Oryza sativa Japonica Group: one gene and its partners. The protein of the gene in region 3 interacts with the protein of the main gene of each other region in a pairwise test. Links are inferred from orthologs where the notes say so. Each region holds a gene or a part of one and is shown on either strand. Other genes may lie near its edges.

The links. The genes of interacting proteins can lie anywhere in the genome.
Region 1: the proteins of growth-regulating factor 6 (region 3) and GRF1-interacting factor 1 interact in binary tests that used the Arabidopsis thaliana proteins (3 or more experiments, as listed by UniProt). The link is inferred for Oryza sativa Japonica Group from reciprocal best matches to the Arabidopsis thaliana genes GRF1 and AN3.
Region 2: the proteins of growth-regulating factor 6 (region 3) and GRF1-interacting factor 3 interact in binary tests that used the Arabidopsis thaliana proteins (3 or more experiments, as listed by UniProt). The link is inferred for Oryza sativa Japonica Group from reciprocal best matches to the Arabidopsis thaliana genes GRF1 and GIF3.

What each region holds. Positions count from the first base shown.
Region 1 is NC_089037.1:30,925,978-30,936,540, reverse strand, and holds GRF1-interacting factor 1, read left to right. Parts: upstream 1-5,394; 5' UTR 5,395-5,629; coding exon 5,630-5,719; intron 5,720-7,236; coding exon 7,237-7,313; intron 7,314-8,056; coding exon 8,057-8,141; intron 8,142-8,242; coding exon 8,243-8,674; 3' UTR 8,675-9,111; downstream 9,112-10,563. UniProt on the Arabidopsis thaliana protein: Transcription coactivator that plays a role in the regulation of cell expansion in leaf and cotyledons tissues.
Region 2 is NC_089046.1:19,343,395-19,353,982, forward strand, and holds the start of GRF1-interacting factor 3, read right to left. Parts: upstream 4,618-10,588; 5' UTR 4,463-4,617; coding exon 4,388-4,462; intron 2,741-4,387; coding exon 2,664-2,740; intron 528-2,663; coding exon 443-527; intron 373-442; coding exon 52-372; 3' UTR 1-51. UniProt on the Arabidopsis thaliana protein: Transcription coactivator that plays a role in the regulation of cell expansion in leaf and cotyledons tissues.
Region 3 is NC_089037.1:30,698,618-30,709,205, forward strand, and holds growth-regulating factor 6, read left to right. Parts: upstream 1-4,641; coding exon 4,642-5,053; intron 5,054-6,077; coding exon 6,078-6,290; intron 6,291-6,436; coding exon 6,437-6,800; intron 6,801-7,213; coding exon 7,214-8,036; 3' UTR 8,037-8,398; downstream 8,399-10,588. Other genes in the region: uncharacterized LOC4333991, read left to right, coding at 10,125-10,588. UniProt on the Arabidopsis thaliana protein: Transcription activator that plays a role in the regulation of cell expansion in leaf and cotyledons tissues.

The sequences.
Region 1 (10,563 bases), about 230 kb from region 3:
GGTTTGTGAAATGAGTCGGTGGCCTCATTGGCGGAACCGGAATCTTCTTAAGTTTAGGACAAAGCTAAAATAATTTACATAATTTTGCTCTTTACTTTCCAAGTCTGGTAATTCTAGATCGTTAAAAATACGTATATAAAAGTTTTATTTATAAATTATTTTTTATTTACAAGTATACCGTTTAGCTTATTTTTATAAAGCGATTGAAGCAGCTAACAACTGAATCCTGGTGCGGATGGGACGGTCAAACGGACCACGGTGCCCCTCGGTCCGGCAGGGGGTCCATCTGAGCTTCAAATCCATGTCAGCTTTCAAACCCTACTAGCTGGCTATGGCTTGGCCTTCTGCCCTTGATGATCATCACCTCATCTGACACCACACGTCGTACTGGAGTACCATGCTTATCGATCATCTAGCTCCATCCAAGGTTCATGTGGGGTTGATGCATATGTACTCCTAGTCCTTGACACCAGTTGTTTATGTGCTGATATGATCAATGCAATTCGAGGGTTTATTCGGAATATAGGACTTGTTTGTATCTTTCTAGCTATTAATAGCCCTCTGAAATCTTGTTATTTAGAAGTATTAAACGTAGATTACCGATAAAACTGATTTCATAACCCCTAGGCTATTTTGCGAGACGAATCTAATGATGTATATTAATCCATGATTAGTGGCTGCTTACTGTAACATCATTGTAGCAAATCATAGATTAATATACCTCGTTAGATTCGTCTCGCAAAATAGTCTAGAGGTTATGAAATGGGTTTTGTCAAAAATCTACGTTTAATAATCCCAAATAGCAAGATTCCGAAGGGCTATTAAATAGCCCTCCGGATCCAAGCAGGGCCATAGTAGTATGCACTAGTATTTCCTCTACGCTAAAAAAAATAACTTATCCTTATACAGCAAATTTTGTCTAGATTTCAAATTTATTATACTAGAAGGAGATTACATCCGTCCTAGCTAGATTGAGTTTTTTTTTTAACGTAGGAATTAGTATAGATTATAAAAACAATAGGAAAATCATAAAATAGGATAAAAACACGTAGGAAACACATGGACTCTTAAGGTAGAGTTGTAAAAACACGTGTTCAGACAGAATAAAATAAGAACATAGGAAATGAATAAAGATATTGGAGTGGATGTCAACTTTCCTTTGTTTATCTGTAGAAACCACATGAAAGGAACTTTTTTTCTTTTAGTTCTTCATGGGATCAAATCCCTTGAAACAAATGGTTCTACCGTCGTTGAATCCTTCATTTTTCTCAAATCCGAACGGGCCCTTTGATACTTCATACTAAAAGTGTGGTATTAGTATGAGTAGAGAGAGAGAGAGAGGGGAAGGCTGCTGCTAATATTGTCCGAAATGTTCACCCCGTGAGTGAAACGCAGGGCAGTGCTTACTGCTGGAGTGGGACTCGTGCCGTCCCTTTTGGAGTTGCCCGCCTTATCACCCAACTGATCGTGCTTTCCTGTTCAGTTTGAGGAGTAACATGCGGAGGAACTCACAGTAAATGGCACTCTTTTTATATACTCTCTCAGTTCCAAAATATAAATATTTTTAAACTTCGACGCAGTTTTTGAGATGCTACTTAATCAACAATATTTATAATGTAAAATATTTTAAATAAAAAGAGTTGCATATTATGATAGTTTGTTTAATGATAAATCTAGTAATATTAATTTTACGTAATTAACTTTTTTATTTTTTTTACTAGTAATAGTTAAAGGTAAAAATATTTGACTTACCACTATGCTAAAAATGCTTGTATTTTAAGATGGAGGGAGTAATGTTTATTGGTTTATTTGCCCACAAGATGAACAGTTGAACGCGCACTCATCATTTCTTCGTGGAATATTTTGTCACTATGAATTACTATTTGATAAATATCATTTGGTTTTAAACTGCTCCTTAATTAATTTCACAAACACTGGTACCAATGTGATATCATGTCGTGATAGCAAAACCAGGTGTTTCACGGGGAGCCAAAAGTGAGATGAGTGTGACATGTTGTAGGGTTCTCCTTGACTTCCTTTCTTTCCACCTGCTGGCGTAATATAGTACTCTTTGAATTATACATAAGCTAAAATTTAAATTTTAAGTTTAATTTTAAAGTTAATTTTAAGCTATTTTCAATGTAATTTTTTATGTTAACTTTTAAATTACTACGAACAAACATATAAAAGTCTTACCTACAAACTAAATTTTATTTTCTAATAAATTGTTTTAACTGATTACTACGTACTTCCTGTATACTTCATTCTTCAAAAAAAAAAAACTCAACCTAATACTTGTATACTAGGACATAATCTACTACGTACAGTGAATCTGGAGAGGCTGCCTCCCTCTATCCCATCCAAATACAAGAAGAATCTTAAAACTTTTTTTACCAAACGTAACACCCAGAGCACGCAGTAAAGTGCGGGTAACTACCGCCTGGGGGAGGAGAAGGTCAGGTCAGACAGGGCGATTTTTCTTTTTTCTTTTTAACCTCTGGGGTGAGGTCGCTGAGTCAGATGACGCAACACCAGCCATTGGGCTCTGCGTGCAGGTCGTCAGTCAGCTACACTGGCTATGCATTGCATTGCATGAGAGGGCGTGTGAGATGGCAACAGCAACAGCATGTGTCTGCAGTGACTGCGTGCAGCGTGCGGGGGCACAGGCTGTATGTAGCCTGGCTGTAAAAATAAAAAAAAAAAGTTGTTGTTTTGGTGTGTAGCGGAGCGGCGGTGTGGCTAGCGGTGAAAAAACCGAGCGCGTACGACAAAAAGAGGTGAAAATCTCTCTCTCCCCAAGCGTGTTGGCGCTGAGTTGGAGTTGGCGGTTGGTTTGGGGGTTGGGGTTGGGCCGTGTTGGGTTGGTTTTGCGGCGCGGGACGGGTATGCCGTAGTATGCGTTATGCCGTGCCGTCCCTCTTGACAGGCCTTGTGGTTAGCCCCGGACCCTGCCAAATTCACGGTGCAAACCCAATTACCAGTGTAATATGGTTTCTCCCATTTGGAAACTAGTTTACCCTCCACGTGTTGTGGAATTTTATACATTGAATTAGACCGCTAGGACATACACTCACCGTTCAAAAAAACCAAAAAAAAAACAACATAAGGTTCATTGGACTTTGTATATTTATTGTTCTAAGATATGTCACATTTTATCATAGGTTATTTTTTTTAACGGATGGGGTAGCATTTTCTACTCTAGTCCTCATGTTTTTTTTTCTAAGTTTGTATAAAAAAGTAGACATTTTTTACTAAATGCCCAAAAAATTCAGAAATATATATAAAATTCCCCCCTTCTCCCTTCTATGGTACAAAGATCCCCAGATGTGTAGGCCTTTCCCTTTCTATGTGGCATCGACTCTGCACGACAAGGTCTGTAGTATATGGATAAGGAATGAGCTCCATGGCGGCATGGGGAATATGTAGCCGACGATGGTGGGCCTCACAACAACGTCTATGATAACATGCCCTTCTTCTCCCCTCTAATGTGATCATTATCACTTTCCCAATCGTGTTGGTCACGTTGCCGCTTTCTTTTCAATTTGGTTGATGCCACTTAGACTCATGGGATGGGGTAGGAGGAGGACAAGGAATTAAATATGTTTTGGGGACGCAATTTTAACAATGTGTGTATGTGTCATTCGGTCGAGCACAGATTTCACGTCACGTACGTGTAAGCCGTAGCCTAGCAAGGAACGTAGAGAAAATAAGGGACACCCATTCTTGGGCGAAACGAGGTTGTGCAACATGGGAGAGAGGAGTCCGACCTCAATGTGAAGGTCCTATCCTCGACATTAGTTGCTTTCCATTCATGCCAACTTATTCTGTGGACTCTACTTATGGTTAGATTGCACAATGAGACTTGTGTCCTTCTATGGCCTTGGGTCTAACTGACAAGTGAGGCCCAACAAATATCGAGCCTTCATTGGTACTACCCTCTCCCTCGTATTTCGTGTGCACGCTTTTCAAATTGCTAAACGGTGTTTTTTTTTTTAAAAAAAGTTTCTATACGAAAGTTACTTAAAAAATCATATTATTGATCTATTTTTGAAAAAAACAAATATTTAATAATTCACGCACTAATGAACCGCTCCGTTTTCCGTGTATACTGTGTGGGTTGGTATCACGTACTTCCGAACACAGCCTAACACAGCTGCCATCCATGTCCTGGCTACTGAGCAAGAGTTGCCTCAGCCCTGTTGAAACTTGAAAGGCAACCATGCTCTCTTCAAAGCAATGAAAAAGTCTCATGGGGACATGGATGTAGCCGAGCTACAGGCAAAGCTTCGACATGGCGAGTCCGAGCTAAGCTACTCATCACTTCAAAGTAATGTGAATGCTTTAACAGTTTTGCTCCGTTTGAAAATGCAGTTGTCTCTATGAAATTAAGTCTAATGGTTAAATATAACTTTTAGGGGTGTTTTGCTTCTGCACCTTACCTTTTTTTTTCAGTGCCAAAATATTAGCCAATTTTGGCCCTACTACTTTTGCGGTAGGGTATAAGTTATATTGACCATGATTAGCTTATTAATGTAAAGTTAAAGTAATTGTTAATCCTTATCCTGGTCAAGTAACTGCAACAAGATAAAAATGAAATCGATGTGGCCCAATTTATACGATCTTAAAGAATGTAACTCCAGTTTATCTCTGGAGATTTTCTCTCTCAAAAAAAAGTTTATCTCTGGAGAGAGCCAGCGAGGAAAAAAATTGATGAATTGCAGGCAAGACTCTATAAGGAGGATCCATTTCGCGATAACTTTGGGTGTTTACCACCATCAACAACTCTGATTAGAATGGAATTAACGTTCTTCTTTTCTTTTTCCCAGTTGTATTTTGTATTTCCATGTGTCGTATGGAGGCTACATATATAGCACATCTGTACAAACAAGCCACGCCGTCTCCTGTTGGAATTCTTCTCTGTACTCGTGACCGACGAGTTCTTCGACACAGAATCTGCTGTTGTTTTAGTACTCCAAAAATCTATCCTGCCCACAAGCTCATCAGATCATGCAGTCCCTGAACTTGAAAATTGCCGTGTTGACAACCATTGTTAAACCCTGAACATGACATATCAACCCAGACATAAATACTCTTCGAGCGTGCAGCCATAATTTTGTTTTATTTTTTTTTGACAACCTGCCTATACGAATCAGGCTTTATTAATTTTATCTTTTTTCCCCTATGTGTGGTGGTGGTCCCAATTCTTTAATGTGCAGGTGTCCAAGTATAGAAAGTTACTGAGCTTTTATGGTAGGTGTGGTAAAAAGTTGCATGGTAAAAACGATCCACTAAATTAAACTTTGTCACCAAAACTGAAGAAAAAAAAACTGAAGAGAAAATCTCTGCAACTGGTTCACCCTCTTTTTAAAGAACTCCACTCCAAAACCAACGAGCAAAGCGAAAGGAGGAGACGGCCAACCAAAACCCTCCTCCTCTCATCATCGCCCAAAACCCCCCAAGAAACCAGAAAGAAACCTCTCCTGCTCCTCTCTCTCTCTTTTCACCGGCAGAGGGAGAGGAAGTGGAGAGACAGAGAGGAAGAAGCAGAGGGAAGAAAAGAAAAGGAAGGAGTTTGCTGCAGCTGTGAGGAGTAGAGGAGGGGGGAAGGGTATAAAGGTTTTTGATTGGAATGCAGCAGCAACACCTGATGCAGATGAACCAGGGCATGATGGGGGGATATGCTTCCCCTACCACCGTCACCACTGATCTCATTCAGCAGGTCATGATCCCCTCTCCCCAAAATCTCTCCCATTTTATCGTCTGTTTGTCTCTCTCTTGTTTTTCATTTCTTGCTTTTTGTTTTTGGTTCCGTGATCTCTCTTCTTTCCTTTCTTTTTTTTTCTCTTGAATCATTTGTATCAAACTCTTTTTTTCTTCGTTCTTGATTCGTTGGTTGGTCTGTGAGTATCTGAAAAAGAAGTTTTATCTTTTCTTGTGTTCCCCTTTTCTATTTCATTATGCGTTTATGCTCATGCTATCTTTCTTGTTTGCTCGTGGTTGTTGATCCTCTTTTGTATCCATTGAAACATCTGGCAAAAAAAAATCTGAAATGAACTAAAGTTTCCCTTCTTTTTTTTTTCTCTGTTCTTACATCTTGTTCATCTGATCTATTTCGCTTTCTCCGTTAATTCCCAACATGATTTGTCGAACAACACGTTTTTTCCATCATATTTAAAAAATAGTTCTAGGGCAGCCTTTTTTTTCTTTATTTTGTTTGGTCAAATAGAAAGGGCATGATCCTCTTATATTCATGATGTTGATTTATCTTCTCGTCCTCTAGTCTTCTCCCTGTATTCTCATGTCTTCAAACATGGTCCCTCACATCTGATTTCCTCTGCAGTTCAAACTGTTGCTGTCCATTTGGTCCTTTTTTTTTCTTTTCTTTTGCTCTTGCTGCTCACATAGTCACATGATGCGGTGATTTTTTACATATCCTTTATCCCCCTCTCCATCTAAATCCTATTTTTAGCTTGTTTTGGTTGGTGACTTGTGCCAATGGTCGTGTCTCCCCCACCACTCGTATTTGGCAACTAGTAAACATGCCAGACCTGTTCCCTGCATCTGCCATTGCAGACCACCAATAAATCTTGGCCCCCTTTCCATGTAAATGTATCATGTGCAATCGTCCAACAAAAGGGAGCAAGAAATGCTGTGAGATTTACATAAATATCTCCTTTCCATATCCGAAATCCAATTTGCAATCTTTGATTTAAAAAATATTTCTTTTTTCTTCAGAAGGACATACCATACAAGATCTGGTCCTTGTTCATGTTGGTGAGAAACTGGGAATGTAGGTTGGCTTGTGCTGTACTAGAATGCCACAGGTTGCAGTTTTGACTGTTAGACCCCTAAAAGATGTGAGCTTTATGGCTAAAGGCCGATATAACAACCAGGGGCCCGGTCTGCTTGGCCTATTCTTTGATAACCTGCTTGCATGCTATCGTGCCAGTTCATGATTGGTCCTCAGTTTGAGATGATAGGCTGGCAATCAGATCTTGTGTGGTTCTGCTCTAGAATCAGGACGCCAATCTCCAGTCTAGTACTTCATTGGTGCTAGGAGTATATTCATGCATATGTCATTGGTGATAAACTGATAGTACCAACCAAATCTTGTGCAATGAACTGCAATATATTCAAGGCATGCATGCAGTACTATCTTTTGTTAGTATTGATGATAAAGACTTTGAAATGTAATGACGTATTAACATGCAAAGATTCAACCTTGAAACTGTGCAGTATCTGGATGAGAACAAGCAGCTGATCCTGGCCATCCTTGACAACCAGAACAATGGGAAGGTGGAAGAGTGCGCTCGGTGAGTTTGATCTTGATCTCCCTGTTATCATGGAGTGCTGTGAAAACTCTGAAGTTGCTGTTCTTTCTGTAGCTTTTGCTCTATCAGAGATGTCTTGTTTGGTAATATAGTCTTTAGGCTTTGTTAACTGCAAAAGGAATGTCTAGCTTTTGTTCAGTCAGGGTTCAAGAAACTAGAATCTACTAGGAGTATTCTGGATAAATCAACTAATCAAGTAGTACAATGTTCTTTGGTGAAATATTCCATTAGGTGTTACAGGTGATTCCACAATGATGGTTGAATTAGTGTTAACTCATGGGCAGGTTAATACTATACCTAGCACCCTCCTGTTAAATAAATTATTAGTGAGTGGCTTGTACTAGAAAAGTACTGTTCCTTGTTCAGTGCACTATTTCTGTTGTGTGTATTGTCAATGTCACAGAACAGTTTGCTGCCATCCTCCACAGTATCTTTTCCAGCCACCGCACAGAAGCAAACTCGATCCAAAGCCTCCTCATTTTTCAATCATCATCATGTCACGTAGTAGTAGTAATACGAGTTGCATGCATGTTCATGTGCATACGCTCTCCTGTTGTTCACTGCTGCTGCTATCTTTCTTGGATTGTACCGGGAAGGGAACACATCAGTTTGGAGCTTTGCATCGACTGAGCAATCCACCCACGTTTTCGCTTGCGGCGCGGCGTTTTGCATTTGCCCTACAGGCAGCTCACAAGCTGACCATCCTCGCGTGTCTGTCGCTGCAGGAACCAAGCTAAGCTCCAGCACAATCTCATGTACCTCGCCGCCATCGCCGACAGCCAGCCGCCGCAGACGGCCGCCATGTCCCAGGTAATTGTGCTGCTGGCGATGATCAGTGAGTCGTGTTTGTTGGTGTTTGATTTGAGGATGAGTGAAGTCATCAATGGCGGCTGCATTGTGCATGGATGCAGTATCCGTCGAACCTGATGATGCAGTCCGGGGCGAGGTACATGCCGCAGCAGTCGGCGCAGATGATGGCGCCGCAGTCGCTGATGGCGGCGAGGTCTTCGATGATGTACGCGCAGCCGGCGCTGTCGCCGCTCCAGCAGCAGCAGCAGCAGCAGGCGGCGGCGGCGCACGGGCAGCTGGGCATGGGCTCGGGGGGCACCACCAGCGGGTTCAGCATCCTCCACGGCGAGGCCAGCATGGGCGGCGGCGGCGGCGGCGGTGGCGCCGGTAACAGCATGATGAACGCCGGCGTGTTCTCCGACTTCGGACGCGGCGGCGGCGGCGGCGGCAAGGAGGGGTCCACCTCGCTGTCCGTCGACGTCCGGGGCGCCAACTCCGGCGCCCAGAGCGGCGACGGGGAGTACCTCAAGGGCACCGAGGAGGAAGGCAGCTAGGTGGTTTAACTTAGCTATAGCTAAGCTAGGCAGCTAGGTAGCCCATGAGGAGGGTAGCACCGTGGTAGTAGCAGTAGTAGCTAGGAGACGGCGGCAATGGCGGTGACGGTGACGGCGATGTCGGTGGCGGTGGTGGCTAAGGTTTAGGTTTGGTAGGTCGATCCATGGAACCTGTGTGGTGGTGGTGGCCTGATGCATGTTGCATTTGGTATCATGCAGAAGTCTCACTTGTTTTGGAAAACGGATTGGCAGGTTCGTCTAATTAAGATGTGTTATTAGTAAGGGAATATATGTGTGTGTTGCTGCACTGCAATGGATGGGTTGGTTGGTTTGCGAAATCTCCCCGTGCTGCTGAATGCGATCTCTTTGGGGACATCCGATGTTGTGCTGAATCAACTGATCTATACAGCAGTGCTTTTGCTGCGTTGCCTTGCATCAACTGAGCTCTTGCATTGCATTAACTGATCTATACACATTAGTACTCGGTACTAGGTGAGTTGCAACATTTAGCTGTGTGCCGTGAGCGAGATGGAGCGAGCGAGGCAATGGCTCCGAAGTGAGTGAGTCAAGAGAGAACGACGTACGTGTAGTGTTTGATGGCAAGGGCAAAAGAAGACTAGACGAGGGGAGTAGTTCATCTGGGCCATCTGGCGACAGGACACAGGTTAAGATGGCTGGGCGGAGGACTCGTCGGAGTGGAGGAAGAGGAGAGGGGTTGAAACAGAGATAGTGGTGCCGCGTGGGTCGGGTTGGGTTCAAGCGAAGCAAGAACATGCATGACCACCTGCCCGTGCCCAATACTTCCAGAGCCCCACTACGGTGCTCTCTACTCTCGACAATAGCCTCTGCTGCATGGATCACTGGCGGTGACGACGGGAGGAGAACGACGTCAACGGCGGCGGCGACGGGAGGATGACGCCAACGACGGCGGCGATGGCTGGAGGATGAGGACGATGGTGGTGGCGACGGGAGGTCGAGGACAACGACGGCGACAGCGACGAGAGGATTTTAATTAGGGTCAGGGTTTCAGTGTAGTTTTCAATTTTCTGAAATTTTATTTTTTTTCGTGATTTTTTTCTTTTTCGCATGTGGTCCGCTTAAGCGCCCGGATTTTCACATGCGCTGGCCGCATGAAAAAAAAAATCCTATTTTTACTGACCTTTGGATGCATGCGGGTCATCCTTCTGCATGCAAAAATTGATTTCGGTCGAATGAAAAATTCTAATATGTAGTAGTGCATTGCATGTGTGATGGATATGTGGGCCCGGGCCTCACATTCATTGTTACAAACGATAGTATTTTCTAACTCATGCATGTATCCTCTAAATTTGAAAAGAAAATAGGAGTAGGAAAATAACATCACTACTATCCACTGTATAAATAATTTCAGAAGTATGTGATAAAAATGAGAGGAGAATATTTTACTAAAAAAAAGAAGAGATCAATTGTTAGAATAATACAAAATGCCCCATATATTTTGGAAGGCATAATTGCTTTATTTATGGTGGCCGCAATCTTTCATATGCAATACCTTGCTCTAGCATCAATGGTGGAGTCACCGCCCAGCTAGCCCGGACGGCCACCGGGGATCACTGGCGAGAACACCATTAAATTTTAATATTGATAAGTAAATTGATGATGAAATTTCTATAGTAAATACTAGTTATACTGAAGTTTGCTCGGGCTAAAATTTTTTTCTTACTATCATTGTCCGGCATCATGGATTCGAAAATACATTTTGAGAGTTTAGTGACATAGATGATACACCTGCACAAATTTAGATATCGCTCGTGCCCTCCGCTGCGGAAGAAGGCCATCAAATGGTGGATGGGGCATCCAATGGTTCATGGCAGTTGACCGAATAAAAATCAGTCCATTGATGCAGCATA
Region 2 (10,588 bases), on a different chromosome or scaffold from region 3:
TACATGTTTTTTTTTTGTTTTTCGTCGCGACCTGAAAGGCCAACTTAGCCCTTAGGATTGATCGCCGAAGTCGCTTCCACCGTCATTTTCGGTGCCGGTGCTCCTGTGGCTCTCGGAAGGCTCCGAGGTGGCCCCGCCAGCGTTCTGGTGATCTGCTCCGCGGTGCATTTCGCCTTGCAGAAGCTGAGGAATGCCATTCACAACGCCAGGCCTCATAACCATCTGACCGCCGAACGAGAGCAGCTGGGCTTGCTGTTGCTGCAGCTGCTGCTCCTGCATCTGCTGGGGCGTTAGAGGGGTCCTGGGGGGGAACATTGGCACCTGCGACATGTATTGCCCCCCTAACCCCGGCGATGCACCATGCGGCACCATCTGTTTGCGGAGATAAAATGAGTATATGCAGAACAAATGATGTTGTGTAGATGTATGGAATATTACGAACCTGGGGACGGCTTATAGTGGTCTGCGGTTGAGTATCAGCAATTGCAGCCAAGTACAAGAGATTCTTCTGAAGCTGCGCTTGATACCTGAAAAATATCATTGGGGATAAAACTACCATCATTAAATGATTTTCTCACCATCTATTCCAGAAGGAAGTCCATAGTCACATTCATATAGGCAAATAGGTTTAGCAATATGAAGAGCATCTTCAGTAAATATATCAAATAAATTCATAACTACATGAAGTGTAAAGGAAAGTAAATTGGATTAATTATCACATATTAACTTATTAAGCCCCGCCTAATAATTCATAAATGGAAACAAGGTGAGCACATATATAAAATAAATTCATTAATACAAGCACTGCAATGGGAACTTGGAAAGTAAATTGGATTAATTATCACATATTACCACCAATACTCCTAAAGAAACACAAATGTGAGGTCGGTAGGTGACTAGTTAGCGACACATTCCATGGGTGCACAGGTGACGTGCATGGTGCATAGGTAATAGCATGCATGCTAATGGCACTAATAGCATACTAAATATTGTTCATGTTATGTTGACAGCAATACTGTTCTTGCCAGTCACAGGGCAAAAGCCAACATGGTTACAATCTAAAGTCAAAGAAAAAAAGAAACGGGTAAGACCAAATAGCTAGGAATCATTTTACACAATTAACTTCATGGAATTAAAATGACAAAATGCATATTGACAGTTCAAAATTGTTAGGTGCTGCACAAAGCATGTATTTCCATGTTCCTAGCAAGATCAAATGTGTTGTTTTCCATTGATGTTTACCAAGGAGAATAATCATCTGCCACATAGAACTAACAGTTAGAGCTATTTCAGAATGTTGCTTTAACTTGAATTTTATTCCGACGGATTATGAAGGGTGATTCGGGCTTTATCATCACGGCATAACATGATAGTTCCCTCCCACTTCCCAGTTGGTTATGGAGATATCAAGTGACACCAGATGAAATAAGATTTCATAAATTTTAACATGATGCTTGCCAGCTTGACACTCAGCCATTGCAAGTGGAAATTCCTAGGTATTTAGCATGCTGGTAATTTGCTTCGTTTGCACCCAAAAAAAAAGCAATTGATCCTTTGGGCAGCAGAAGACACAAGATGCAAATCAAACATGGAATATATTGGCTGAAGAGTGAGGATGTACATATAGTTGCTAATGATGATACATCTTGCATATTCTTTGAAAGATACACGGTCTTCGAATACATGCTTTTATTGCATTGAATATAAAGAACCACTATAGGCAACGCTACATAAACTAGTCATGTGAGAACCAACCAGTTTATATTCGAAATTGTATGCCAATATGTGTTCAGTGTATAGCACTGTAATACTTCGTTCACCGTAGTGCATGGATTGTGTCAAAATCCACACCAGTACACGTCCCGAAGAGTCAGGAGATGAAGGTCTATACTCTATGTAAATCTAAGTAAAATTATCATAAAAAAACCCTGACTTATATAATTAGATACCAAAAAACAGTATTATAGTCAGATAATTAACAATTTAACATATCATCTAAAAGTTTGAAAATAGAAATTTAATCAAACATTATCATTTAAAAAACAGATGTTATCATATTTGCTGTCTACAGTTCATAGAGTGTTCATATGAACTTTGCATATGCCACAATGCCAGGACCCTTCTAGGATTAATTTTGTATAGTGGCTCAAGCCTCAAGATGGTACAAAACAAGAACTCAGCTGCAGTTTATAACTCGTACTGCACAAAAAGCCATACTTGAATGATCCATGTTTTGCTGTTTAGCAATACTGTTTATTCTGTGTTGAACCATCCAAGCATGGTATGCTTTCATCAGTGACAAGAGCTACATAGATCTTCTAAATATTAAACCTAACGGCTGAGAAAGAAACCAGGCCAAAATATCATTGGATATCGCAGCAGTTTTCAGTTGCTTGTTTATTCAATGCATAAACACAAATTTGAAATAACAACAGCAGAGTGGCAATTTCATTGTTATATACGGCAGCACAATAAATGAATAATTGTATACAATTAACTAATGGTGAGGGACTGAGTGTAGATAACAAAAAAGGAAGATATTAATGTTAACGAGAAATTATTCAACAATGCAATTACGAGACTACTAAGCAGGATGAATTAATATTAACACACAAAAAGGATCATGTCATAACGTAAAATCTCATAAAAGACCGTTTACATACTGAGCACATTCTGCCAACTTTCCCAGATTCTGATTTTCCAAAATAGCCAAAATAAGCTGCTTGTTTTCATCCAGATACTGCAAAAATGAATTAAGACTGTAAGGGAAAATGGTTATTTACAACAATGAAACCACAGAATCAGTAAATGCAAATGGGCGAACCATGTGAAATATATAAGGAACAAGATAGTAATTTTAGAAATGCACTATTACAATTTATGCAGTTTGCAGGAAACATAAGGATTAAAGTCAGCACAAGAGATTATTTAGTCATCTGAAAGTCAAGTTACAATGCTAGTAGGTGCAGGGCATTAATCCAAGTATAATAAGGAAAATATCATTCAGACAAGTATGCAAAGTGAAAATGTATGCCAGAATATGACCTGTATAAGCATGAGCACCCTAATAATATGGATTGCAAAGTAAAGTGGTTCAAAAAACGGCCCCAAGCTGCTATTTTATTCATCTTAGCAGAGAGACATTAGTGCGCTATTTTTAGCTTATTCTAGTACAAGAGAGCAAACCATGACCCAATTTAAGCAGAATATGCATCACCAGCCTTAAGAAGAAAAAAGCATGCATGTCTGAATCTAGTGGGAGCACACAATACAAATCTGCCATTTAGACATGAAGACATGAACTGCTAGGTGATCACAGCTATTAGCTCCAAAAGAAAAGAGCAACGCCTGAAAGATTGGAAAATTAACAAACGAGACAGAAATCAACTAACAAAGCGATGAGTTTTTTCTTTAAGAATTTAAGTGAAAGTTGATATTGTTGAAAGTCAGTTAACATAACTTTTTTTTCTCCGTTGTAAGTTTTAAACTACATCTAAAGCCCACAAGGACTGGAGTATACCTGTACTTCAACAAATCCCAATAAACCCAGTCATCCACGAACAGAAACATAACTAAAATCTGCTATAGAATAGCATACTCTACAAAAGAACAGGACAATCGCACTAAGACAAAGAAATGGTTCCATACAAGTGCCAAGTTGATATTAATGCAGGAAAATGTTTCAGGCATAGAATAATACTTTATAGACAATGACTGATGACTGTCATGATGTGAATACTAAAGAACACATAAAAAAACATAAGTTCAGTTCCGGCTGGAGTGGTCATGGATGATGGATAGTTCCATGTCGAGTAGAAATATTGCAATCAATAAACATAAGCTACACAAGCAAAGATTCAAGCCCAATCTAGTCAAAAGTTGTACTCCAGGTGTTCATAACTTAGTTTTTTTTTATCACAAATGATACATCTTCTCCAATAAACCGAGAACAAGTCAGCATATCTCCTATCAAACCAACATCATCACCATATAATTACAGATCACTCTACCGCCCGGATAACCCAAACGAGTCGTTCTTTATCGAGTCAGATGACGAGCACGCCAACCATGCGGTGCTCACAACACCAACTTCAACCAATGCCCGTCAAATACTCTTCAAATCACATCAACTAAGTTGAAACTAATCAAAAAAGCCAGAATCTTTACCAATCCAATATCCCTAAGACCCTAACCCACCCCTAATCGAATCGAACGCTGGCAAACCTAGCACCATTCGAGGAGGCCGGGCAAAAATAAAAAAAGAGATCAAATCTTTTGCCCCCCAAAAAAACCCTCCCAAGAAGCGAGGGCGGCGCACCCGAACCGGGGCCAAGAACCGGAAGAGAAAAGGGGGGGGGGGGGGGGGGGGTGGGCCCAAAGGAGGCACCTTTTGGATCTGCTCGGTGGTGATTCCGGCCGTCGGCGGCGCCTGCGCGGGCATCGGCATCGGCTGCTGCTGCATCGCGTGCGGCTGCGGCGGCTCACGCTTCCACTTCTTCTCCCCCTCTCTGTGGTTTATGGCGTTGGAGAGGAGGAGGAGAGGGGTTTGGACTTTGGAGGGTTTGGGAACAGCAATGGAGCGAACATTCGCTCCCTAGTAATCTCGCGAATGGATCTGGAAGGAGAGGGGTTTGAAGGCTTTCCCTTTTCATCTCCTCCTAGGATTAGGTGCAATTACTAGTATACCCCTCTTGCTCAAAAGATTTTAATAATTACTACTACTCCGTCTCGAAAGGAATCCAATCCTAACAACGAATCTGTGTCTAGATTCGTTGCTAGGATTAAGTTTTTTTTAAGGACGAAGAGGGTATATTATTGATTGATTAATTACGCGTGCAAACCTCTAGCACACAAGTAGACGGAAGTGAGCAATAAATCATATGTGTCCTCGTTAAATTTGTATTGGGCAATATTTTCGTTAATTCGTATTGAAAACGTACATGTGTGTTAATTGTAGTTCTAGTGTGCGAAGGCGTGCATTTATGACTTCAATGCAATGTATTTAGTGCTTTTACTCTCTTGCTCTAAAGTTGGAGTAGGAAAAATTGAAAAAGAACGTGTTTGCTTTCATCTCAATATGTTGTTATTGAGTTCTAATTTCAATCCAATACTATCTCCGTTCTGTTACATATTGTAATTCTTAGGTGTTTTAGTTATGTTCTGAGTCAAAAAAAAATTTCTAGTTTTGACCAACTTTATAGAAAAATATATTAATATCCAGCGCTATCGTTGCCAAGACATAGCATCTTTTTTCCGAACTAACCAGCTATATTAGCAATATGGTCAATTGATTTGTACCCAACACTCCTAATATTTCACTCACCTCGGTTCTGGCAAATCTTGGGGTCGACTTTTGGTTAAATAATCCATGTTGATTCCATGAGCGCTTGAGTGTTGTTTGGTGCACTAAAAACATGAGGTTTGGTTATGGCATGATGATTTTTAAATTTGTTACATGTGAGTTCTAGATAGTAATAGTCTTTTCTTATAGTGCTTCTCTAGTTGAATAGATTGCTTGGATAAGTCTCACCTAGCGAAAAGATGATGGACCTATTGGAGTGACTATAGTTGATGATCCAAACATAATTGGATGGTGGTTCAAACGGAATATTTGTATCCTGGTTTGTCCTTGACCAAGAGCCATAACCATTATGTTAAGGCAAATTTTGTTAATGATGAAAGTTATATAATCTTGTATTCACTTCTATATAAATCATTTCTACCGTTGTTAAGGATAGCACTCTAGTTTGCATTTGGGATTTGCATGATCTTTAGAGTCTATGGACACATCATCATGTTGTTTTAACACGGCTATCAATTATGTCACTAGTTGGTGTAGTCTCTTCTTTTTTCTAAACATCGCAGAGGTTTACATACAAGGTTAATTGAATTTTTCAAACTTCAAGAGTGCAAGTTACAACATAGTAGTCACTCATTATCTTTTAGGAAAATATGGACATAAAGTTCACCGATTACAATTGCGGGTTACACAATAGCACACTTAGATAGCTTTGTAAGTTACATCGTTAGACATAGATATAAAGCTCTCAAGCAATATGTAACCTATATTTGATAAGAGGAGGTAAGAGGAGGATAATAAATTCGACCTTAGATTAAAAAATTGTTGCTAGTAAATTCAATCTCAGACCTCAAAGTTTATTATGTCACATATTTTCAAGTGGAAAAAAGTTGTCAACCATTAAAAAAATAGAGTAAGGGTAGTAGCTTAATAATACCTTCTCACGGGACCCCTCTCCCACTAAAAACAAAAGTAGTGTAGAACCATGCAACATTCCTCATGGCTTCACACATCAAATGGTTTTATTTTGTGTTGAAATAACCAAATGTTATATGGATAAGCAAATTCCAGTGGGACTACCAAGTGTGCTACATGCTCATGTAATTTAACTCGGGTAACATAAACTCTCTCTCAGTCGCGCTTTGTGCAAGCGCTAGCATAACTATATATATGAGTGGGCGATTGATCTTAACAATTACATGGGTGGATCCGTGAGAATACTCCCTTTGTCATCAAATATAAGGATTTTTAGGCTTTTAAACAAATATTAAGGTTGAGTAAAAAAGACTTATATTACTCATTTAGCGAGGGATGGTTGGAGTTGAGACGGTAGTTGAGAGTAGGATGAAAATAAATTTTAATGAGAGGTTAGATTCATGGGGGCAAATAGTACTTTATGAATCCTTGGATAAATTTCAAACACTTGGTATCCTACAGTGTAATTTGAAAACATATGAAATCGCACGTAAACATAGATATATTTTTAAACTCAATATTGAGTCAAGCATATGTAGGACCCAACATCATGTTAATCTTGCCACAAACTGCTTGATTATGGATAATCATAGAGGTTAATAAATACCATATGAATTCAAGGTTGAGGCTTCATTTATTTATTTTTCTTTATTTGATCAGCTGATTAATTAACCAAATATAGTGTTAAAAAATTAGAACAAAGGTGTTCTAGAAGCTTCTTGATTGCTCCAAATGGATTCCACTCTCATAGATCATGAGCCTCTTGATTGGTACAATAGTATATGATCAAAGATGTTTTTTTTACCAGTTACATCCAATGGTCCTTGATATTTTAGATGATGTGGCTCATTCTCCATTGAGATAGCTTGCTGCTTTCACCTATTAAGATTGGTGAAAGTGTGCTATCATAATCTAAAAACAATGCAACTATCTTTCTATGCATGTTGGTTGTGATTTCTCTGAATGATACCAAAGCTGAAGGGTATTCAACATACAATAAAAGGGAATATTTTTAATATAAATGATATGTAAGTCAAGGAATGAATTTCATTTTAAAATGTTTCATTTTATATTCAAATTATCTACCAAACATTTTACAAGACCATATAAGATATATCTTGTGCTTTTGCCATTTATATTGAGCTCCACCTTGCTAGTAATAAATTACTATACCTATTGTTTTTCTATTTAACATGACATGAATGAATGAACAAATAGCCACATTAAAATAACATTATGTTAACAGGGGCATGTGCTCCCATTCTTTTCTCTCCATTAAATATTATTGGGTCATAAGGGGCAATATGCCCCCTCTAATTGGGCCAATAGCAATATGTAACGACTTATCTCGATCCCAAGAGTGAGAAGAAGGAACTCCTTAGCAATATGACGAGGATGTAGACTATCTGACAAGATAGATTTTACAATTTTTATGGAGGTGTTAACTTCTTGTCTTTAATTAATTTGATTTATTTATCTGGGAATATCTTAGGAAAATCATTTTAGAAACTAGAGGGAAAAAGTATGTCTCTATCAATAATTTACGAATGTATTAAAAATTGCAACGGAATTGCATCTAAAATGTCTATGAACTACAAATATTTATGTCAATTTGCAAAGTGTCTCTAGGAAATGCATATGAATTGAACTAATTTTTTTGAGAGCCATTTTGATTATTTGAAATATATATCTATCAAAAATTTCTAAATATTATAGTTGTTGTAGTGTAAATTCAAAAATTATAAAAACAATATGAAAACTATAAATGTTATCTTATCCGAAAATGTTGCAAGAAATACACACAATTTTTTCTAAACTTTCAGAGTCAACCCTTCATGCCATAATCTCTATCACGTGACTCCCAACGTATTAGAGTTCATTTAGTTGCACAAACTCAAAACACCTCAATAGGAAGGACCAAACATGTAAAATCATTCAACCAAATATAATAGCATTTGAGTATAATCGATAATTCATACCTTATTATGGTATCTCCTAGTTATTATTGTAGTTGGAAATAATTTCATAGCATCCCTCACGGCCTCATGCATCTACGGCCTCATGCATCTAATAGATGAAAATTGAGAATAAACAAGTGTTACATGCACCAACACTCATTTGATTTATCTCAGGGGACATGAATGGTATATCCAGATTATTTTATGATTAGCGAAAATGTATCAAATATAAGAGCAATCTTTTTGCTTTGAGCATTGAATTTTATTTCATCAAATGAAGACAAAATAGAAGAACATTGGGCCGATCATAAACAAAAATATGAAAAAATTTATAAATAATTTTATTGCACAACTAAAAGCTAAGGATTTAAGATATGAAATCTACAACTGTTGGAACATAGTAATAAATTATGACAAGATTACCGTGCAAAATAATATGCATAGGCTTATACCACTTTTTCTAGACGACTAACCATAATACTGCGTTAAAAGGGGCATGTGCCCCCCTCTTTCGGATACTAGTAGCATTATATTAAAAGTGGTTAACTTATGCCTATAGATGATTAAGGGTGTGTTTGGTTGGGCTGTGGCTTTTGCAAAAGCAGCTGTGGGCTGTGACATTTTGAAAAGTAGCTAAATTAGCTGTGAGAAAGCCAAAAGCTCATTTGGTTACACAGGTGGCTTTTGGAAAAGCTTCTCCCCTGACGAGTGGACCACACATGTCATGTGGGAAGGCGGCTCGCCGGAGTGGGCAACCGAGGCCAGTCGGGGCTGCTCCTCCTCGTCCGCAAGGAGCGACGCGCTGTTGGGGACCGAGGCGCTGCTCCAAACATCGATCTCCGGCACCGCTCCATGGTCTGCGAGATCGAGGAAGGCTCGTTGTCAGCTTCGTGGCCGGCTCGTCGTTAGCTTCGTGGGCGGCGGTGGTGCCGTATAAGTCCGGCATCATGCCTCGGGGTGTGAGGTCGAGGAAGGCGGAGGAGAGGCACAGGGAGTGGTAGTACGGCGACGGTGAGGCGCACAACGATGTCATGCAGGGAGGCAGCGCCAGCTGCCTTGTCGCCACCTTGGCCAGCGCCAGCACCGGTGACACCACCAGCCGGGCGCGGAGGCGGCGTCAGGCGGGGAGGAGGCGGCGCAGCGTCGGGCGTGGTCGGAGAAGGGTGCGGCGTGGGGCGAGGAGGAGGCGCCGCTGGCGTCGGGCGAGGAGGGCGGCACGGCGTCGGGCGGGGAGGGCGGCGATCGGCCGGCCAGAGGGTAGGGGCGGCGCACAAACCTAGATGCGCCGCTCCACCCCTACTGCGGCATGCGTTTGAGAAGCGAGAGGAGACGGGAATAGATTAGCGAACCGTTTTTTTTTTCATAATGGCAGAGGTGGGTAATTTTTTCCACCAAAAGCAGGTGAAAGCAGGGGGTAAAGGTGCTTTTGATTTGTACTAGAACAAAAGTCGGCTTTGGGCAAAAGCAGCTATGGCTTTTGGGCCCTTTGGATGGCAAAAGCAAAAGCAGGTTGAAAAGCCCAACCAAAACACACCCTAAATGGGTCGCCCGGGCCGAGCATGACCAGGCACACGACGGGTCGTTCCATGCCTACCCACATGTTGTGCCAACGGCCTAGGCACGACCCAATAAGACTCTGGTCGTGTCGGCCCGAAGGCATGGCAAGCCCACCGTGCTCCCGCCTTAGAATAAGTTTATTTGGCCACCCTCATCTTTTGGGTCGTGCCTATATGGAAGGAATAAGTCTATTTTAACTCCCTAATCGTTGGACCGTGCTATGCCAAGCCGGCCCACTGTGTCAAGGCAGAGGCCTAGGCACAACCCAATGGTCGAGCCGGGGTGACACGGTCACACGGGCCCGACACCAGTTTGTCGGGCCGTGCTGTGTCTGGACCGGGCCAAAACCCCACTCCGTGGGCTGGGCATTTTGGTCATCTATACATATGCCCTTCATTTGGTGCTAACATGAAAATGAAGCATTTTTTATTTCAATGAAATCATTAGTTTCTTTTGAAATTTTAAACTATACTAGCAAAATTGCCCGTGCGTTGCAACGGGAAAAACTACAGCACAACAAACCCTAGCAAGATAGAAAGCTAATTAACTTTTTTTTAATCTATCAATCACTTTTTAACCAATACTCCATCCGTTTCACAATGTAAGTCATTCTAGCATTTTCCACATTCATATCGATATTAATGAATCTAGACATATATATCTATCTAGATTCATTAACATCAATATGAATATGGGAAATGCTAGAATGACTTACATTGTGAAATGGAGGAGGTACTCAATAACTCATTTTTACCCTTTTTTCTTCTAACAAAAACTTACTAAAAAGTGTAAACGTTTT
Region 3 (10,588 bases):
GTGAGGATGCAACAGTGATATTGCTCTGCTACAGTAAGGGATATCTATCTTTTCCTGTTACTACTACTCCTACCTTTTTTCGAGCTTTTCTTTGATCGATGAAACGTGTTGCAGGAAGGAAACCTGGTCTCTCATGCATGCATGAGTAGCTAGTGGAGTAATTGACCATTGACACGCCCAAATGATGTTTGACTAGAGATTAAATTAACTAGTGAAAGAGGAGGGTGATGCATGGACCGTTTTTATATGGGTGGCCAAATGTCAACGTATATAGGACTTGCGAGCTGATGCTTTTGTTGATGTCAACATACAGAGAACTTTCTTAAATATGGCAGGTACGTATAAGTATAATTAACTCCAATTGATGAAATATTTTATAGCACTTATTTTGTTGATGTAAATGAGAGAGGAAAGAGACATAGGAGCTGGTCTCGGCCCTCTTATTTAATTATCTGCTTAATGAATTAATGGATTATTAATAGGCACACTTTTCAAACTCATAAACAATATTTTTTTAAAAAGATTATGGATATGATTTTTTGAAAAATTTTATTTTTTATTTATTTGTACTCTCAAATTTATTATCACACATCATTCATTTATTCAGCCATTGAAAAAGAACACCTCATGTGAAGAATAAAAAATAAATGTAATATTAATTAAATACCATCATATCTCTCTTGTATTTGTATATAATATAAATTCTAACAGTAGCCATCTCAACCATTTTACTTGCCTTAAAAAATGCATAGGGAATATCCAGTGTTAACCATCAAATACGTAAAAGCATGTGAAATTCCTGGTCATCTAAATTTTATCCTTTTCCTCTCCTAAGTAAAGTTGAGTTTGGACTTGAGATGTAGTCGTAGCGTGGTAGTGTAGTTTATGGTTATACCAATCACTTAGTAATTTTATCATGGATTTGGAAAACTTTTAGGTCTGGTTTTATTTGTTTTATTTGTTTGATATTTTTAATATATATTATCTCCTCTAATTGTACAATAAGGATCTTTCAGGCCAAGTAATTAGCCTTTTGTGAAGACCATAATGCAAACCTATTCCAGATTTGTACCACAAACAACTTGGGACCATTTTATTCCCTCCTACAAAGCCTACCTAATTAATCTATGCGTAACCTTAAAGTTAACTCTAAACAAGTACAATGCCACCCATATATACATGGATCGATCGATCTCATTGCTAATATAAGCTAATAAGCATTATGAGAGGCCCCCCCTAGCTTGCTAGAATCTTACCATTTCTTTGACCAAGATCACGACCGCCCAAAAAGAAAGAGCTCCGTGACAAAGCTCGATTAGGCAGAGGTTAATTAACTATAGCTATACTTATACATTTTTTTCGCTATTAAGAAACTAAGCCGCTCGTGATGGCTTGGGGGAAGGCACGTGAGGGAGCCGTGCTCTTGGACCACGCATATTGCTACTTGATGGTTTTGTAATGCCCTAAGTACATCGAGGAGGGCTAAACAAATGGGCAGTAGTAAATTAATTTGGATGGGAAAGGGGGACATTTCAAACAACTGGCATATGTTTGCACGAGTATTTATTTTGGAAGATAGTGCCATTGTGTACGTTTTTAATGCCAAGGGTGACGATTATGTCATGCTACTGGTTTTTTAATTCCATCTGATGTTTTACCTCACGGTAATAATATAGCATAGTACTTTTACTCCATATATATTATATACTCTTATCAATAATACATCATCTCTTTTAAAATATAAACATTTTTAAGTGCTTATTCACCTATTCTCCATCATAATCAATCGTAACTATCTTTTATTTAGTTTTTTATCTAGTTTTATTTAACCAATCATAATTGTTTGTCACCTCAAACTTATCGAAAAATGGTTATGGAGTATGTATTGTGTTAGGGGTAAAAATAACGGAGAGTAAAAAGACAAAAAAAAATCGAAATGCCTTGGGAAAAAAATAACAATATTATCCCATCATTGTAGAATGATAGAGGCAGTAACTCTCGTGCGATGAGAGTGAATATATCTGCAGTAGAAATGGGCGTTAGGTAGCCCGCCAAACACAGCGGGATTACCGTTAATTGAGCTGATCTAGCACGGTTTACCCCTACTGTTTGGGTGAACATTCTCTCTCGCGTGCAGCTTGCAGCGAGCGAACGGAGGTGATATGGTGATATACAAAAGCTCTTCTTTTTACGGCCTTGATTTACCGAGTCTTTACTGAGTCCGGGCAAAAGAAGGCAAAGATCGAGAGGTTGGAGAAATTGAGAACGCACGCAACGTACCGGAGGCGAAAAGCGGACAGCGTACGGGCGTGGAAACCGTTCGGTGTTCCGATCGGGTCCCTGCAGGTCCATCCCTGTCACACCTTGGCGCCCGGCAAGCTAGGTTCTGTAAATTAAGGGCAGTTTTTAACAACGGCCACTTCTACTTAAAATCTTCATCAAGAAAGATGGTTCAGATTCAAACTTAGATTGAAATCAACTATAGTCGTAAAGGTTAGAAAAATAAATAGTAACCATAAGCTAGAAAACCCAATCTTTATAAATAAATACTGAGGCTGCATTCTTTGCTGAGAGTTTACAACTCCCCACTCTCGCTTTCCACGCATATGTTTTTCAAACTGCTTTCTATATGAAAGTTGCTTAAAAAAATCATATTGATCCATTTTTGAAAAAAATTAGCTATTAATTAATCACACATTAATGCAAACATCGTTTTGCATGCCGGGGAGGAGGGGTTCCTAACCCTTTCTCCCGAACACAGCCTAATTGTTTCTTAAAATTTTAAGCTCATGACCTAAATATAGGAGTTTAGAAATATGGGCTCTGGCGGTAAAGCTGCAGTTGAAATATATGACGCAACTTTATATATATATATATATATATATATATATATATATATATATATATATATATATATATATATATATATATATATATATATATATATATATATATATATATTACAAGTTTTTATATGGTGAAAAATAGACAGCTATAAATAATTTTAAAAATTAAGTTTTAAAATTTAACTTTTTAGCTATACGGTTCAGACATCAACCAGCTGAGCTGCCTCGTGATTTCCTTTCCTTTTCTTTTTCTTTTTCTTGAAAACATACTAATTCCACTACACCGCACTATTTTGTCAAACCCTTCGTCATAGAGCATTTAGGTCTTTTTCGGAACGCAGAAATTTTAGAGGTTTTTTTTAACATAAAACAGTTTAACTCCTCCAAGATTCCCGTGCAAAATCTTCCAAACTGAATGGCCCTTCAAGTTATATATTTCCTCTAAACTGCACATTAACCTTGTTTGAGATCCAGGACTCGTCCGCTTTGCTCGTGTGGTCTAGCGTGCTAATCTTCAACCATGATTGATACTCCTGCGATCTTAGCCTACGGTATTTCAGGTGCATGTGCGCAACAAATATATATACACAGATATGGACCGATCGATCCATGCATACGTGCGTCTCGCGTGGCTGCGATTCCATGGCCTAATATCTTAATTAGCGCAGGAAGATAGTACTACTACTTACTTACCAGCTAATTGCCTAATTTCCACGCCCAGTGAGCGGCTGGAGCTAAGCACGCAGCTAGTAGCTAACAAACTCATATATCAATCAAAACTGAATCTAACACAAATATACACTAACATATACTCCATAGTGCAATGATAAGAGATGTGTGATTCTAACTCCAAGGTACCATACCGTTCCCAATACATTCACATTTTCTTCTTAATTTTTTTTAGAGACGTCTCTTTCTCCAAATTTCATTTTCTAAAACTGAATCTAACACCAATTATAAGCTCTAGATAAGTGATATGAAGCTATCGGCATATCACACAGTGTCACTATGCTACGTACCTGCCGTTCAATGTGTAGGGAGGAGAACGATCGAACCCACCAAATGTTGGTGTTAGTTGCTCTTGTTGCTATTGTCAACTACCGGTTACATCTATCAGTTCATCTCTTGCACAAACACAACGCTTGTCCTGGTTGATCTATAGGACAAAATGGTGGTTTCGGCTTAGCTATTCCAGTAGTACTTTCTTCTCGGAAAGATAATGTCTTTTGAATCTTCTGGGTAGGAATCATAATCCTTCTTATAAATGTTGTTGAATCTAGTAGCATTTGGAGCAACTTTACAATGCAAAGATACCGGCACCCTACATTAAAGGTAAAAAAAAAAATCCCCCAGACAAATAAATCTTACCAGCTACAGTACCACTTACTACTGCCACAGCTATACAGTAAGATCTCTCCTTACCATCAATTTTGCCGGTGGTTAGAGCAGTAAAATGACTCGGTTAAAAAAAATATGGAGCAGTAGCAGTAAAAATCTTCAAACAAGTTTCCCTTTTTACCCCTGGGTGTTGTACTACTAGTACTTGGGGCTTGTGGCTAGCCTTTGCCCCCAAAAGGAAAACCATCCCGGTTTCCCGAACACGAGCCGCCCGCGACGACGACGCATCCGCCATTCCACCGGCGACGCGACGCGACGCGAGAGCACGCGCGCGCTCGCGCGGCGCGCCACCACAACCCGCACAGCGAGAGAGGGGGGGATGCGGTCGCTTGCTCCGGTAGCTGCGGCTGCGGCGGATGAGCGGGGGAGCAGGAGGGGGCAGTGGTAGGAGGTGGGGATGGACCTGGGTGGCGGGGTGGGGGTGGTGATGGCGGCGGTGGACGGGGGTGGCGGCGGGGAGCTCGGTGGGGGAGGGTTGCTCGGATCTAGGCTGATGAAGCACGGGAGGGGCAATGCGGGGGACCAGGAGCACGAATGGAGGCCGCCGGCGAAGCAGGCGAGGGGCGGGGACGCGTCCTCCGCCGCGGCCGCCGTGGCGGCCGCGGCGGCGGTGTCCGAGGCGGTCAAGGTGGCGGCGCCGTTCCTGCTCGGGGCGTCATGTAGCCCCGGCCATGGCGGGGAGCAGATGCTCAGCTTCTCGTCCTCCGCCTCGTCGTGCTCCTCCGGCGGCGGTGGCGCCGCCGTGGCCGCTGCGGCGGCGGCTGGCGGGGCGATGCCGCTGTACTATGGCACGCCTGCTTCTTGCTCAGGTGAGGATGGTGCAAAAATCTTTTCGTTTCCTTTATTTTTTTCTTCTTTCTGTTCTGCTCGTCTGATTCGATTTGGTGATTGAAAAGCTTTCTGCTCCTTTTCAAGTATTATTGCTGTTTGATTCATCTCTCTTTGTTATAGATTTATTTTCCATTTTTTATGCTACTTCTCTGCCTTTTTATTCGTTGCTATGCATCATGCTTGATCCTTGCTCACACTGGGATGGGATGGAGCTGATTTAGTTTTAGTTTTTGTTTTTTTCCCACTTGGTTCTTTTACTATTGTGGTTTAGATTCGGATTTGCATCTTGTATTTTTTTTGTTTCATATTTCTCATTTTTTTGTCTCCTTTTGACTAGATCACTGACTGCGAATAGCTCACTTCCTCTGAAATAGACCAGTTTATTATCTTTAGCATAGATGAGTGTGAGTATAAACTAGTTCTTGATTTTTTCTTGATACTGGAGTATAAGTTTCCTGTTCTTTTCAGTGACATCCACAAACGCTTTCTTGTCCTCATCGGTGCGGATCGGGCGTATTCTCTTTCGTCATACCTTTTGCCGAAACTAAAGGAGAAAGCACATATATGGATGAGAAAAGTCGTGATCTTTAGCATTATATCACTACTATTTCTACTACGTTTTTCTCACTAGGGAAGAAAGAAAGGTTAAAGTAGGAAAAATAAAAACATGCAAGAAAGGTTTCAAGTAAACAATGCGGCAAACGCGAATCAAGCTTTGCTGCAACGGATCGAACATGTGGTTGGTTGGTGACTTTTTATGCACACGCCACCTACAAATCCGTGCTGCTTCTGATCCTTGCAGCCACTTTGCTTCAGATTTTTGTGTCTTTTGCTTGCCCCTATCTATGTTATATCTTGCACAAGGATCGTGTTTAGGAAACACATGCATCTGGATGGTGGTCGTCGTCTCGTCTTCTATAAAGTACATGTGTGTTTTGGCTGTGCCTTGTTGGCTTGCACTGCCTAGCTTGTTGCTCATCTCCTTGGTGTATCTGGCTGCAGGATTGAGCTCAGTGAGCTTGAGCAGCAGCATGCAGGGTGCAATGGCCAGGGTGAGGGGTCCCTTCACGCCGTCTCAGTGGATCGAGCTGGAGCACCAGGCGCTGATATACAAGTACTTGGCTGCGAATAGCCCTGTACCACACAGCCTCCTCATCCCCATCAGGAGGAGCCTCACATCGCCCTACTCACCTGCCTACTTTGGCTCAAGCACATGTAAGCCAAGAAATGGGAAAGGAAGCAGATCAACCGAATGCTTTCTTGGCTTTAGTTCCTTTCATCATGGACTGATATTTATGATAAAAGCTGTTCCATTCCCTGATCTTGGTTGCATTGCCCTTGGTTGGGTTTTTGCTTTGCAGTGGGATGGGGATCTTTCCAGCTGGGCTACTCCGGCAGCGCGGATCCGGAGCCCGGCCGGTGCCGCCGGACGGACGGCAAGAAATGGCGGTGCTCGAGGGATGCGGTCGCCGACCAGAAGTACTGTGAGCGACACATGAACCGGGGACGCCACCGTTCAAGAAAGCATGTGGAAGGCCAGCCTGGCCATGCCGCGAAAGCGATGCCCGCGGCGGTGGCAGCAGCCGCTGCCTCTGCTACCCAGCCTAGTGCTCCGGCCGCCCACAGTGGCGGAGCTGTTGCTGGCCTCGCTATCAACCATCAGCACCAGCAAATGAAGAACTACGCTGCCAACACTGCCAATCCTTGCTCTCTGCAATATAGCAGGTAGAATGTTGGCAGCACTTTCAAGCTCCAAATATTGCTTTTAGTCAATCATGTAGCCAATGCTTAAGCTCAAGACGTCAAGTTTCGCTTTTGCCATTTTGCATGGATATTCCATTTCCGTACATATTTGCCTGCCGGCATCCACCAAATAATAAAGATAGAAGGTAATTTAGTTACCTAGTTTATTTAGCTACCATGATTGGAGATGAGCCCCAAAGATAAGCTATTAATCATTTACCAGCAATTAAACAAGTCCATTATTTACATTGCTCATCTATGTACTCTGGTAGCCCTAAAGGTACTTGTTTTGTGAGTAGAGTGGCCGTTGAAGAACTGCCATACTAAAGGAACAACTGCTATATGCTGTATTAACTACTTCACTAATGAATCACTTGTTGATCAAACTTCTACAGGGATCTGGCAAACAAGCATAATGAGAGTGAACAAGTGCAAGACTCAGACAGTCTCTCGATGCTGACTTCCATTAGCACGAGAAATACGGGCAGCCTGTTTCCGTTCTCAAAACAACATAATCCTTTTGAAGTGTCCAACTCAAGGCCAGATTTTGGCCTAGTATCACCTGATTCACTGATGAGTTCTCCTCATAGCTCCTTGGAGAACGTCAATTTGCTCACTTCGCAGAGTCTGAATGAACAACAGAGTTCAGTTTCCCTTCAACACTTTGTGGACTGGCCAAGGACACCTGCACAAGGAGCTCTCGCATGGCCTGATGCTGAAGACATGCAAGCTCAGAGAAGCCAGCTCTCAATATCTGCTCCAATGGCGTCTTCTGACCTGTCATCAGCCTCAACATCTCCCATCCATGAGAAGCTGATGTTGTCACCACTTAAACTGAGCCGTGAATATAGTCCTATTGGTCTCGGTTTTGCAGCAAATAGAGATGAGGTTAACCAGGGAGAAGCAAACTGGATGCCTATGTTCCGTGATTCTTTGATGGGCGGACCATTGGGAGAGGTTTTAACCAAGAATAACAACATGGAAGCAAGGAATTGCCTATCGGAGTCTCTGAATCTTTTAAATGATGGCTGGGATTCAAGCTCAGGGTTTGATTCATCCCCAGTTGGTGTTCTGCAGAAGACCACCTTTGGATCAGTATCCAGTAGCACCGGAAGCAGTCCTAGACTGGAGAATCATAGTGTTTATGATGGCAACAGTAACCTGCGGGATGATCTCGGTTCAGTTGTTGTAAATCATCCGAGCATCCGCCTGGTGTGAGCTTCTTGATCAACAAAAAATGCAACAAGATGACAGGCATGAGGAAACGATTCAATCAGTCTTCACCTTGTTACATATCGTTATGACGTCTTCAAGTGTGAGCATTTACCTCGGTGCTTTGTCATTCAGACTAATCTTGTGTTTTTGGTATTTCTGCTCTGTTATTTTTCCTTTGCTTTGTAACCTTCACCTTGGATCTTGACGTGATATGACGTGTGGTATGGATGGATTTGGTACTCCATTGTGGCATATCATCTTAAAATATCCCATGCTGTGACGTCATAATCGCGGATGAATGTAATCCGATCCTTGTCTTGCTTTCTGGTAGTATTCAATGGATTGTTTGTGAGCTGATATAAGTATTCCTCTTGACTTCTTGATGCTTGTTGGTAATTTTAGTTGGTCCATGCGGCATTCGTGTAGTGTTTCACTGGTATTTCGTGTACGGACTGTTCTGTTTGTCTCCCAATTATTGGACCATATATTCGGTGTATACTAGTTTTGCATAGTACTTCTACTTTGTTTGCAGTCACTAAACTAGACAAATGAGAACTATAGTTAGGTCAGTTTGGACGAGGCAATTGGGGTTTTTTTTTTTTTTTGGGGGGGGGGGGGGTCCTTGCGATTAAATCTGTGCAAAATTCTGACCAAATAGTTTAGCATTGCTTTTTGGAGCCTGAGGGCGGTCTTTCTTTTCCCACTATTATTGACAGAGTGGACTAGTGGTCTAATCCAGTTCTGATTGTACTCCCAACCAACAGCCTCACCAGAATACAATGATACAAATTTCAGGACCATTCACCACCAGCCTTTTCTTCCTCTTTTAACAGCTGCCAAGCCCTGCAAAAAGAGACCAGCCTCCCTCTAGCTTGTGTAACTACCCAATGTTCATCACTGCATGCATGCATCCATGGCCAGCCTCTACTCCACCACAGGCAGCAAGCAAGCACTGTGTGGTTTTCTCCCTTTTGATGATTTGCTCTACAGTAGCCTACAGTAGAATGATTCATCATCAGCAGCAATAGCAGCTAGCTAGGCTTGCAGTTGCACTGGTGTGCAAGATGAGAGCCCTGATGCCATTTGCCACCTGCTTTTTATGCACCCAGAAGACTCAAAAGCGATCCATGCATTGCATACCACACACATGGATGGATAGATGATAGTAGTGTTCTTCCTCCAGGAATGGGCTGACCTGGGTGACTCCTTGATTGCTCACCTGCTAGACATGTCAATATTTTTATTTTTTTTTCATTTTCTTGTGCTTATTTTACTTTGTTTCTCATGCCTATTCTGATTATTTGAAGGAGAATGTTCACTGCTGGATGCAAATTACTGGTTTTGTTTGGAGGCACAGAAAGGGAAAATTTTTGACACAGAGGGGTTTCCCCGTTTTTCCTGCCTGCCCGTCACGTGTGCTCGCTAGCTTGTGTTTGGACAAAAGTCGCGCGCGTGCAATACATTACTGAAAAGCAATGCACTCGTGTGTACTAGCAGTACAGGTAAAGAATGCTTCCGTGTTTATACTATCCGAATGTTTTCGTACTTGCCCCAGCATTAGTGTGAGCTTAGCCGCACTATCAGGTACAGGTTCACACCACTGCCTTGTGTCTTCCAGAAAACGCAGTACTAGTACTACGCATGAGTCACAGTGCGGCTGCATTTCACGGACGTTCTTGTGTTCACGAGACCGACTGCAAACGCCATTCAGAAAACGACCTGAACCGACGCCGAAATCGCCGAGCCGATCACGCAACGCAACGCATGCCAAAGCAGTAGTCGATCGAGCCGAGTCGATCGCTCGCGTTGTGTGTGGCGTTGCAGAGTACGTGTGCGCGCTGCACCACGTAGCGATCTCACGGGCGGAGCAGTGGGCATCGGAGTGAAGAGGCGCGAAAGGAACAGCAACGACACGTCCACGCCTCCTTGCTCACATGCCAAGGTAAAGATTACGTGCCAAGGTCGGCCACGGTCGCACGAGAGCTGAGTACTTGATCGTCGCGTATAAAAAACCTCGACGGCGTTAGTAAAAAACTTAACTCGTCGATCGATCGATCGGAGTGAGCCGGTGAAACGGGAGAAGAACACGAGATGAGCCGGAGGAGCGGCGTGGCGACGAGCCGCCGGACCAGGCGGGCCGCCGAGCAGGAGGTGCAGCCGCCGCCGCTGTTTGCCGCGAACCCGATCTTCCTGTGCGAGGACGACGGCTCGGCGGGGCGGCTGATCAAACCGGGCGGCGGCGTACGCGGCTACGGGCCGGGCTCGCTGCACGCGCTCGTGCGAGGCCGCGGCCGCGGCCGCGACGTGGCGGCGGACGACGACGACGACGACGGTGGCAACAAGATGCTGCCGTTGCCGCTGCCACCGTGCAGGGCCCACCGCGAGGGGCGTGGTGGGACCCGGGTTCCCACGGCGTGGCACGTTGGGCCCACGATCGTGGTGGGCCCGCATGGCGCGGTGGTGAGGATCCGTGCGCCGCCGCCGCCTCAGCAGCATGACCCGTTCCTGGCCGCCTACGTGGCGTGCACCAAGGGCCGCGCCGGCGCCGGCAACAA